3 linked regions of the Drosophila melanogaster genome follow. Changing the gene in region 2 together with the main gene of any one other region gives a genetic interaction. Each region holds a gene or a part of one and is shown on either strand. Other genes may lie near its edges.

Region 1 (3,759 bases), on a different chromosome or scaffold from region 2:
TGCCGCAGTAGCAGTAGATCTGCTCTTCGTTGACCCGATGCTTCTCATCCCAGCTGAGCTTATCCGCCTGTGGGTAAAACCGGATTAAGAATCTAATCCGCTGGCTTGGGTTCGTAGAATACTCACATGGTAGGGCAACTGGCGACAAATTCCCGCTGGTTTTGTGATCTTATGGCTGACAGGCTGTTGCATTTTCATGGGTTTAGCGCAGCGTTTGCAACTCCAAATTCCACTGCCAGTAACAATTTCAACGGTGCAACCACGATGGTAGCCACGTCCGCAGCGCTCGCAAATTTCGACCACATCTTCGATATCCGATCGCTTGCAGGCCACGCACATGGGTCCACTGGGGGAGGTATTCGTGGATTCCGTGGTAGAGGCACCGCCTCCGCCAGCGGTAATCGAGCTACCGCCACCTAGCTTGCGCAGCTTATCCGGTTCACACCATTGCTCCGACTGGTCATCAAAGCGGATAAGATATTGATCGCTTGTCTGGTCAATAATGGTGCCCAGGTAAAATCTGCCATCGTTGCATTTGATGAAGACGTCCTCCTGAAGCGCATACGTGACCGCTGGCGAGGGAGCGGCAACTGGTGGTGCCGGCGGCGGTGGTGGTGGTGATGGAGGTGTTGGCGGCGTTGGCGGTGCTGCTTCGACGGTCTTGAAGCTTGGCTTCATTGAGTTGACGCCTTTGAGCAGCGATTGCGTGGCTAGTAGCGGAGGCGAGGGCGAACTTTTACCGGGTGAACTCATGGCCTCCGGCGTAGTTGGCGGTGTCTGTGGCGTTGTGGTCGTAGAATCCGGCTCATCCACAATCACAACTGCTGCTGAGGTGGTCGCGGTACCACTATAACTGCTGCTGGATACAGAACTGCTGCTGCAGCTGCTGCTATCCGCCGTGCTGCTGTCGATGAGGGGCAGGATGGCCTTGTGCTGGATGGCCGGTATGATGGGCGAAGGTTGTTGGGCCGTGGTAAGCGATGAACTTAGCGAAGTGGGCGTCTCCGTATAGTGGTTATTGATGCAAATGTTTATGCGGTCTAACACGACGGTGGAGGGCGGTGAGGTGGAATTGGTCACAGGCACCAGCGGCGGCGGCTGCAGTTGCTTGCCAGTTCCGCTGGCCGCCAGTAGATTGATTTGTCCCGCAGTTTGGCCACCGCCACTGGGCAAGTAGTACGACTGAACGGGAGCATATGTGGAGTGCGCTTCCTGTGGCGGCTTATTCAGACTGTATACACTTGGCGCCGTCGAGATGATTCGTATGTTGTTGGCCTTGAATGGGCTGCAGCTTGTTGCCGCCTGTTGCTTCGGTGGCGTTGATTGCTGAGCGAAACTGTTCGTGATCTGGATGGTGCTGGGATGTGTGGGATGCGTGGTCTGCGGCCCAGTGGTGGCATAGTATCGCTTGGCCACCGTGGCAGGTCCTACGCTGGGCGGCAGGATCTGGTAGGTGGTCGTCATCCACTGCGGCTGCTGGCCAGCTGGCTGTGCTAAGTAGCCGTAGGTGGCCGGAGGAGCTGATGGGACAGCGGTACTCGGCTGTTGCATGAACGGATGTGCCACGTTCTGCGGTGGATGATCGTGTTGCAAGTGAAAATGGTTGTTCATCATTGCGGCTGTGTGTGCGTGCTAGATGCGTTGATTTTTCCAGTGCGCAGTCTTTTGTGAAAAATATGGATCTTCAGTTCGATTTGCCGGCTTTTCGCGGCCCGTTTTTTCATTGATTTTGCGATTGTTTCCCGCTGATTAACACGAGCTCATTAATCTGGCGCCTTTTTCGTCGAATTTGTTGTTGCCCGCCGACACATACATGCACACTTTTGCTACACATACGGACTGGAGAGCGGGCCCTTTTGTATTCTCTGTGTCTTCCTCATTCGTACTTTTCCACACGCACCACAGGCACTTCTAGTTTCGGTTGCCGATTTACCCACCTTTAAGTGTGTTTCGAATCGTGCATTAAATTAGCATTTTGCTCTTATTGATTCGGCTATCGGCTTTGAACGTCGTTGTCCCAAGTTCATCTTTAACACCAGCGAAAATGCACAAAACAAATCACTTGAAAATTAATTTGTGTCAGCCATTTTTCAACATATGCCCACCAGTGTGACCGCATCCAACAATTGTTCTTTTCGTTACATTTTCATATATAAATCTACCACAACTTATGTATGTTATGGTAATAAAATTAACTTGATTAAAATAAATAAAGAAATATTGGAAATTTGTCACCACAATTTTACATTTTTATATTTTTAAATATATCGAAACGTATAAAATATACCATAAATTTACTTAATTATCCCCACTGTGCCGGCAAAGACTCAGCGGTCTCGTCCTGGAAAATACTAGAAAATACATTTAAATATTTCCTAAAGATTCAAAAACGTTAATATCATACATAATTTACATTTTAAATGTAGAGTGACAATTATTAAATCAAATTAAAAAAAATAAAACTAACATTTATATTAAGGTAAAACTTTTTGATTGTCAAAGTAAATCCTATAGAAATTTCAAAATGAATGTTAATTTTTTTAGTAAGTATGCCCTTTGTATGCTTTTATGTACAACTTATCTAAAATCAAACCAACTAATTTTAATTTTAACTCATAATTATCTTAAAGATATCAAATAGAAAATACCAAATACTAAAATCCCTATCCTTTGGTCTGCCGTATTAAAATCGACAGTTGCCTATCAATTAATGTTATGGGTACACATATCAATACTAGCTTTAAAAACAAATAACAGAATTTGATAAGTTTTTAGTATAATGATCATCTAGTAATTGGGGTCAATTATATGAATACGAAGTTGCGCGCCAGAAAATACTAGATAAAAACCAGAGGACCAAGCAGACAGCTAGCAATGGTATATATAGCAGCGAACTTTAGTTCGATAGGTTTTTACCAAATTGGTCACGCTGCGAACAGAAGCAATTTTACTTGACGGAGGTTTCATTAAATTTTCACTTGTGAATAAAACGCGAAAAAGCACTTAAAAACCGAAGAACTGTGTAAAACAAAAGCGGTACGCCAAGAAAGTGAAGTGTAATAACTAAACTAAACAAGTAAAACGCGAGTTTTTCACTTCGCGAAAGGTTTGTGAGCTGCAAAATTGTTAAGGTAAGTAGGTTGAGCAGGAGAAGAAGAACTGGAGCTCCATTTGTGCAAGTTGGTGGCTCGAATGACGCACTTGGCTGCAACCGAAAACATTCGATTCGATCAGAGCTGCAACTTTCACATCAAAATTGTACCCATATGTACATTTTACATATGTATGGTGTACCTGGACACGCACACTGATTCCCGCACCCATACACACACTTAAACACACACACATACAGCGGCGTGGAAAAGTGAACTGTAAACTGGAAAAAAAGCGTTTGTGTTGGTGTTGGTGTGCAGTGAATTCATTGAGTAGTACTCCTTTCCAGGCTGCTGGTCACTTTATGTCCAGGTCGCGTTCATCCGCTAAAGCCGTGCAGTTCAAGCACGAATCGGAGGAAGAGGAAGAAGACGAGGAGGAGCAGCTGCCTTCCAGGAGAATGCACTCTTACGGAGACGCCGCGGCCATCGGAAGCGGGGTGCCGGCCTTTTTGGCCAAATTGTGGCGCCTGGTGGACGATGCCGATACCAATCGCTTGATTTGCTGGACCAAGGTAAGCCTACGCCGCCATATTGTTTATTTACCTTTCCAGGGACTCCCCTCCCACCACATACCGCTAATCAGCATGGCAACAACAATGACTTG
Region 2 (3,759 bases):
GCTGTCTGATTAGCGTGCAGCTAGCAAAAGTTTCTCCACTCACACACACACAAACACATACACAGATTTATTGAGCCCGCTGTCCGCGTCAATAATTTGCATGGGTTAAACGTACAGAGGCAAGAAAATCTGGGGGTTAAGTCAACCCAGACCAACCCCCCCAACCCCCCACCAGACCGCACTTCCTGTGACAATGGCTGGGGACTTACCTTTGCCGATATATATATATATATATATATATATACATATGTATGTAGGTGTGACTGTGCGGAGAGAGTATAAAAGTGTGTGTTGAAAAAAACTTTCTACGCCTCAGTTCAAGTTACTTCCTTTTCGCTTTTCAATACGGTGTTATTGCATTGCATTGTGGAATAGCAAACCAATTTAAAGAATCCCAAAGGTAGGGCAAAAAAAAATGTTCAATTGCAGGGCTAATAAGCAAAAATCAAGTTAAGGCCACTCTAAAAAAAATGAACTGCATACTTATACGTATGCAATTAACTTTATTATTGATTTAGAGCGCATAAAAACGGCAAACTAATTAATTACAGCATTCCCTTAGAGCATTTCATAATCGGTTTTAAGCACTTTTTGTTGTAATGCCATTTTTCAGCTCTTTCGCTGCTGCGACAGGCGAGTGACAATAAATTGTTAAGTGCAAAAAGTTTACAGCATTTGAGTGAGTTAGTAATGGCAAACACACACGAACACGAACTTCAAGACGGTCTAAACCCGATTCGAGCTCCACTCAACCAACATCGAAGAAGCCCCATAAGTGTCACTGAGCGAAAAACTCGGTTAGTTGGCAAAAATGAGTGAAACATTGACGTTTCTTTGTTGTCTGTCGCTAGATCGGCCCACAAAGGAAGTCTCTTACGAATCGTACATACATCTAACTTTGAGTCAGCTAAAGATCTTCAGTGAAATAGGAAAATCATTTATTTCGAACTTTGAAGCTGTTGTAGAGCAGAACATATATGCATTAAAACTGGCACATGAAATAATGTTACTAGTGCTGAGTGAGACTTCTACAAATATCACATGCATATGCATAATTAACTTGCAAATCGAATCAAAAGCTATTATTCTGAGCTAAACTCTCAAAAGAAAACCATATTCATTTGAAGACCACTTAATCGTCGTCAGCAAATTAATTCCTGCAGATTCCTCGGCAACTGCAACTGCTAACCTGTTACCACATCGTCCGTGAAAATGGTATTGATAGCCTCCCGGAAAACCCGTCCCAGTCGAGATCCATATCCTGGACCAACTGGCCCCGATGATGAAGATTGATAATGCCCGGACAGCTGATGGCGGCAGTTCATGATTCCGGGGCCTGAGATGAGGTGCTAACGATGACGACAACGACCGGAGTGTCCGAAGTACGGGTGCGGATAGGCGTACGGGAAACGGGGAGTGCGGAATGCGCATCATCAACAGTCGCCGTTTGATAAATCATGCATGCAAAGTACAGTGCAAACCCCCGAAACGGGACGACAACAGGCGGATTAACAAGAACTCTCTTATTCACGATAAGAAGACGCTTCCCACTCAACCTAATCAGTATTCAAAGACAGCCACTCAGCTTATGAGTACTGCCCAGGTGGGGTACTATCATATTGGTGCAAAGGTGGTCGAATTTTTAATTATTTTGAACGGAACACATTAGCTAAACATAAACATGTTGTCACTAGTATGTATGTAAGTTAATAAAACCCATTTTTGCGGAAAGTAGATAAAAAAAACATTTTTTTTTTTTACTGCACTGGATATCATTGAACTTATCTGATCAGTTTTAAATTTACTTCGATCCAAGGGTATTTGATGTACCAGGTTCTTTCGATTACCTCTCACTCAAAATGACATTCCACTCAAAGTCAGCGCTGTTTGCCTCCTTCTCTGTCCACAGAAATATCGCCGTCTCTTTCGCCGCTGCGTCCGCTATCTCTTTCGCCACCGTTTGTAGCGTTACGTAGCGTCAATGTCCGCCTTCAGTTGCATTTTGTCAGCGGTTTCGTGACGAAGCTCCAAGCGGTTTACGCCATCAATTAAACACAAAGTGCTGTGCCAAAACTCCTCTCGCTTCTTATTTTTGTTTGTTTTTTGAGTGATTGGGGTGGTGATTGGTTTTGGGTGGGTAAGCAGGGGAAAGTGTGAAAAATCCCGGCAATGGGCCAAGAGGATCAGGAGCTATTAATTCGCGGAGGCAGCAAACACCCATCTGCCGAGCATCTGAACAATGTGAGTAGTACATGTGCATACATCTTAAGTTCACTTGATCTATAGGAACTGCGATTGCAACATCAAATTGTCTGCGGCGTGAGAACTGCGACCCACAAAAATCCCAAACCGCAATTGCACAAACAAATAGTGACACGAAACAGATTATTCTGGTAGCTGTTCTCGCTATATAAGACAATTTTTGAGATCATATCATGATCAAGACATCTAAAGGCATTCATTTTCGACTATATTCTTTTTTACAAAAAATATAACAACCAGATATTTTAAGCTTACCATGAAGTCCTCATTTCTTCCACCTTTCATTCTCAAATATTTTCTTGCTACACTACACTACACTACACTACATTATACATCGACCCCAAATAGTTGGATGTAGTAGATCGTAATTAGGGACGCATAACCAGTGGTGGCGTGGGAGGAGTCGGCTTAAGTTGGCCAACAACATTGCTGGGTGTCTATAACTCTAGGCTTGCCAAGATACTAGATACTGTATCCGTATCCATTTCTGGTTGTGTACTCGCATCTTCTACCTGATCTTAATACCTCGTTGTTTGCACGTCTCGCTCGACGAAAAATGTACAATCTAGTCTTATCTGGGTCATTATTTGGCTAGACGAATGCTTTGGGCTCAGCATCTGATATCTAGGTATCTTCGTGCGTATCTTGCTTTAAATTCTTAGCACCTCGGCTTGTATAACAAAATAAATAAGTGAGTACGATTTGCATATCTAGCCCCGGGCTCTTTGAAACAATTTTGAAAAGTCTCAAAAAGTTATACAAGGAGATAAGAACTTTAATTCTTTTGGGAAGTAAGTAACGCAGTAAAGGTAACAAAGTATTGAAAAATATGATATGTATGGAATATTTGAAGCCATCTTTAATTATATGTTCGTTGCATATATGTACATATTGGGCCGTTTACGCTCTGATATTTCCTTAATAATATCGAGTGGTCGTCAGCTTTTCCGCTGAATAATTGCGCCTCCTTCAGTATTTCGTTCTCATCAAAGTGAATGACTTTTGAGTGCACTCATTAGCCACTCGCACAATCGACAAAACGGGAGGAACAACAAATTGAGTCGCTTCTTTATTCAGTCATTTCAATTTGTCAAGTTCATCACGATACTCCTTCGCCTCCCTGCACAGCGCCATCTAGCGCCCACTCCTCGAGTTTCCTTCGTATTTCGTAAGTAATTCAAAAATAGCACGCAAAGTAAATAAAAAAAAAAGTAAGCCAAAAAATTAAATAAATATGAAATGTAGCATCTTTCGCTACTTATTTCAACAAAATACGAAAATAGGGAAAAGGTGGGAGAGTAAACCAGAGGAGGCAGGGAGATAAGAAAACCCAGTGGGAAAGGGACGGCGAAAACAGAAAAGAAAAGAAAACTTTTTAATAACATTTTTCGGCCTCATTTGTTGTGAAAACAATTTCGCCATGTCCCTCTATCTCTTTCCCAGCCATATGGCCATCTCGCTCTGCTCGAGGAGTGCCTGAAAACGGATATTACATTT
Region 3 (3,759 bases), on a different chromosome or scaffold from region 2:
TTTTAACTCCCGAATATATATATAGTATATAGTGACGTAATTAAATAATTAGAATTGTCCACAAAAAAAAAAGATCAATATCCCAAGCGGGCAATCTCGCACCGGAAATAATATAAACAAATGGGCAATATGTGACATATTCACATAATCAGCACTTTCAGAAGAAATACAGAGTGGCGATTCCACGCCATGTACGCTAGCTGTATACAATAAATATCTTAAGCGGGCGATCCCGCTCCAGAAATAATGTAAACATAGGCAGTATAAGAAAGATTTTTGTCACTAACATATAGTCTTAAGCTGAGATCAAAAGAATAAAGACGTGAAAACCATCTCTATGATAATTTTTTATTTCTTAGCGTTGACCTTAGTCAACTGAAATTAGTTAGACTCAAATATATAACAATTATTTTACTGTATGCATGTATGCATATAGTAATGCATATTAGTTTACTTTTCCATGAAAATGCATTAATTATATATGTAATTGTATTTGTTGTATAGAAGCAATTACTGGACCACCGGCGGATGAAAAGGTGGACGACAATACGCAGCCTCTTTATTGAAGCAATATTAAAAAAGAAAATAATAAATTTAATAGATGAATTCTTTTTTGTTTTTATTTAAAACGTCGATGTTTTTTCAACATATTTCGCCAAAAACATCGATGTCCGCCATCATCGATATTTCTCAATCTCTATTAACAGAGTCAAATCAAAGACATTAGAATAACATGATTGGTAACGACCATACGTTGGTTTAGCACAATGCAGTCACTTTTTTGGTGACGGTCAATATTGACATTCTCTGGTAATCGAATTCGTAAGAATTTTACTTTTGTCTGGGCGAAATTAAAAGTAAATGCCTGTTATACATACATATATCTATCAAATCAGATCTTATTAACTAAGGAAAAAATATTTTATTCAGTGGTCTATCGATGTTAATTCCAAATCACCACAAGATCATTCTGCCAATGCGTTATTATACAAAAAATGTATTTCCGACCCCACCTCAGATTTGACAAACAACATTTTGCCGTCAGCAACAAATATTTTCGATTTAGCAAGGGGATTAGCAAAGGAGAAGTACGTTCCCAATATTTATTGCGAAGGCTGCCATACTGTTGGTAAAACGAAACAGGCAGGTAAAAATACTTATAAAATATAAAAGAATTCATTAATGAATTTCAGGAATGGCCAAAAGAGTTGTATGTATTTAATTAAATGTATTTTTATTACTTAAATGTCAAAGTGCAATAACAAAGTAATTGCGAACGTCGGACTTAAAACTGTAAAAAAAGGTGTCCGCTCTATGGTCTGGAAAACAGCTTGAACAGCTGTTTAATGTTTACAAAACATTCCGATAGCAAAAATTTTGCGAAAACCAAAACAGCTAAAAACGAAATCAAAAGATTTTGCCCAAATCGAAATAAAAAATAAAAATTACAGGAGCATGATTGACTATAAATTATCGCTGTGCATGCTTGGCATCTCTTACATCAGCACAAAACACAAGGATTGGCAGAATTGGCGCTTTTTCAAATCTACAGCAGAACACAAGATCAGTAGAGATGTTGAACCATCGGTGCCTGATCCCACGCAGTAGAAACTTTCCCCTTTCGTTTAACAGTTGCCTCTTTTAAATCTGTTCCAGTCTCATGTTAAGCTTTGTTAACGATGGGAAATTGGTTATAGCATGATTGCACTCGTTTTCCGAAATGAGGATGATTCCATTTCCACATTTTCGAAATGTATTTGTGGACCGTATCATATGAACTTTATTTATCACTAAAACTAATAGAAAAATATACACATTCTTTGATAGGATTTTCTTTAAGCATATGAAAAATTTAATTCATATCGGTTTACAAATTTGTAGTATTATTTAATTTTATGTTTTGCATGTATATTTCAAGCTATACCGATATAATTACAGAGATTACAGCCAGCTTGTTCTATATTTAGAAGCTAGTCGACGTGGAATCAAGATATATTTTGCGTTGTAAAAAAATACTAAAGTTTAGTATGTTGCAAAAAACCCAAATATTTAGGCATCGAATACCCATGCCAAACAAGCAGAATAACCTTTTCAATATTTTGAGTCATTTGGTATCGCGTTTTATAAAAATTACTTGAATTCTTTTGTTTTCCTCGGCTTTTAGTGAAACAATTCGACTATCATTAAATTTATGTGGCGTTTAATTAATCTTTCGTATTATTTCAATCAGAATTTTTTTAACATATTCACTACATTTTCTTAGAGAACCGTTTGTCATATTTAATGTATATTATGTTCCCTACTTAAATATGACAATTATTAATTCTGTGTGTGTACGTATCAATCATCCGTGATATTATATTCATGTCTTATATTGCCTACATATGGAATAATGGCAGTAAAAATGCTGTTCTTTCAGATACATCAAATAGCCTCAGGGAATGCAACGCTCAGGAAACATACAAATCTTACCTAACACATGTGCCTACAATTATCCTGGCATTTGAAATGCTTTAATACTAACTTTAAACTCATGCGTATGTGGATTATAGTATTGTAAATATGGCATACGAACGTTTTGGAATTATTCTTCAAAGTGAACAGTACGATGAAGATATAGGCAACACAAAAGTCAATCAGAAAATGAATGAAGGTAAGTTCGGATTTTACAGGCATGTCTATGTTTTGAAAATCGAATTATAGCAACAAAGCACTTTTTTATAAAGCGTAACAACAAAATACTGTTTAATGAAGCATAAAATATAAACATATTTACTTGTTATACCCGTTAGTCCTAGAGTAAAAGGGTATACTAGATTCGTTGAAAAGTATGTAGAAGGAATCGACCACAGTATTCTTACTCATGATCACTAGCGCCAAGTCGATCTGCCCGTATAAACGTTGAGATCTCGGGAACTAAATAAAAGATGTGAAAGTTAAGATAAAGCATGCACATTCTAGAGAAAATTACCACTTCTACTCCAACGCCCACAAACCTTCAAAAACTGTCAAAACTAAAATTTTAATATTGTTTAAGCCGCCATACTAACATTTTTAAGCCAAGCCCAGATCGTTAATGTCAGCTTTTAAGCGCCTTGGCATCGAAGAAATGAAGTATCATCAGATTGTTCAGTAATATGTTAGGTTAAGGTTTTTCCAAAGGAGGCAAGACTCGGAAGACTATCACTCAAAACACAGTGTTGACGGGTGTGAGGCTAATCCTCATCTCTCGTGAGTTACCTGTAATGGCGGAGACGCCGGGTACCCATGTAAGCGTTAGTTTGGGTGTGCTGTAGACGTTCAAGTTCAATAATGGTGTTGCTCACAGGCACGCTCTTGCTAGTGTTCGCTTGAAATGTTAATATGCCGCATGACTGTCCACAATCAAAGCTGTTATTCTGATTCCCATCTGACTCACATCGTTCTTTAATTGCTAAACTGCAGAGTCCTTATACCCTTGTGAGCGTTAGTTTAGTGTGCCGTAGATCTCCCAGTTCCATGATGGTGTTGCGCACAAGACCCGTTACCTTTTCGCTTTTGGCTTAAAGATTTAAAGAATATTATATGGATATGTACGGATTTGCGGATATCCTAATGTGCTTTTGAAGACATAGAATTTTAATTTAAAGTATTTTTAATTAGCTGCGCAAATAATTTTGTATAGAGAATATAGTAGCTAATTTGGTTGAAAATTTATCACGCTATATAAGTATTCTTAAACTCGCAAAGTAAAAGGGGTTTCGAAAAACAATGGCAACC

Evidence for each region.
Region 1: of w (region 2) and Pcl, changing one suppresses a phenotype caused by changing the other (phenotypic suppression), as found in Drosophila melanogaster (4 studies listed by BioGRID).
Region 3: of w (region 2) and pho, changing one suppresses a phenotype caused by changing the other (phenotypic suppression), as found in Drosophila melanogaster (7 studies listed by BioGRID).

Annotation. Positions count from the first base shown.
Region 1 is NT_033778.4:18,133,779-18,137,537, reverse strand, and holds the start of Pcl (polycomblike), read right to left. Parts: upstream 2,113-3,759; 5' UTR 1,615-2,112; coding exon 127-1,614; intron 68-126; coding exon 1-67. Other genes in the region: Hsf (heat shock factor), read left to right, coding at 3,458-3,667. UniProt on the Drosophila melanogaster protein: Polycomb group (PcG) protein.
Region 2 is NC_004354.4:2,794,719-2,798,477, reverse strand, and holds the start of w (white), read left to right. Parts: upstream 1-2,011; 5' UTR 2,012-2,169; coding exon 2,170-2,241; intron 2,242-3,759. UniProt on the Drosophila melanogaster protein: ATP-dependent transporter of the ATP-binding cassette (ABC) family which transports various molecules including bioamines, neurotransmitters, metabolic intermediates and second messengers.
Region 3 is NC_004353.4:1,179,942-1,183,700, reverse strand, and holds the start of pho (pleiohomeotic), read left to right. Parts: upstream 1-2,072; 5' UTR 2,073-2,111; exon of another isoform or gene 2,112-2,333; intron 2,334-2,419; 5' UTR 2,420-2,562; coding exon 2,563-2,653; intron 2,654-3,759. UniProt on the Drosophila melanogaster protein: Polycomb group (PcG) protein that binds to the 5'-CNGCCATNNNNG-3' sequence found in the regulatory regions of many genes.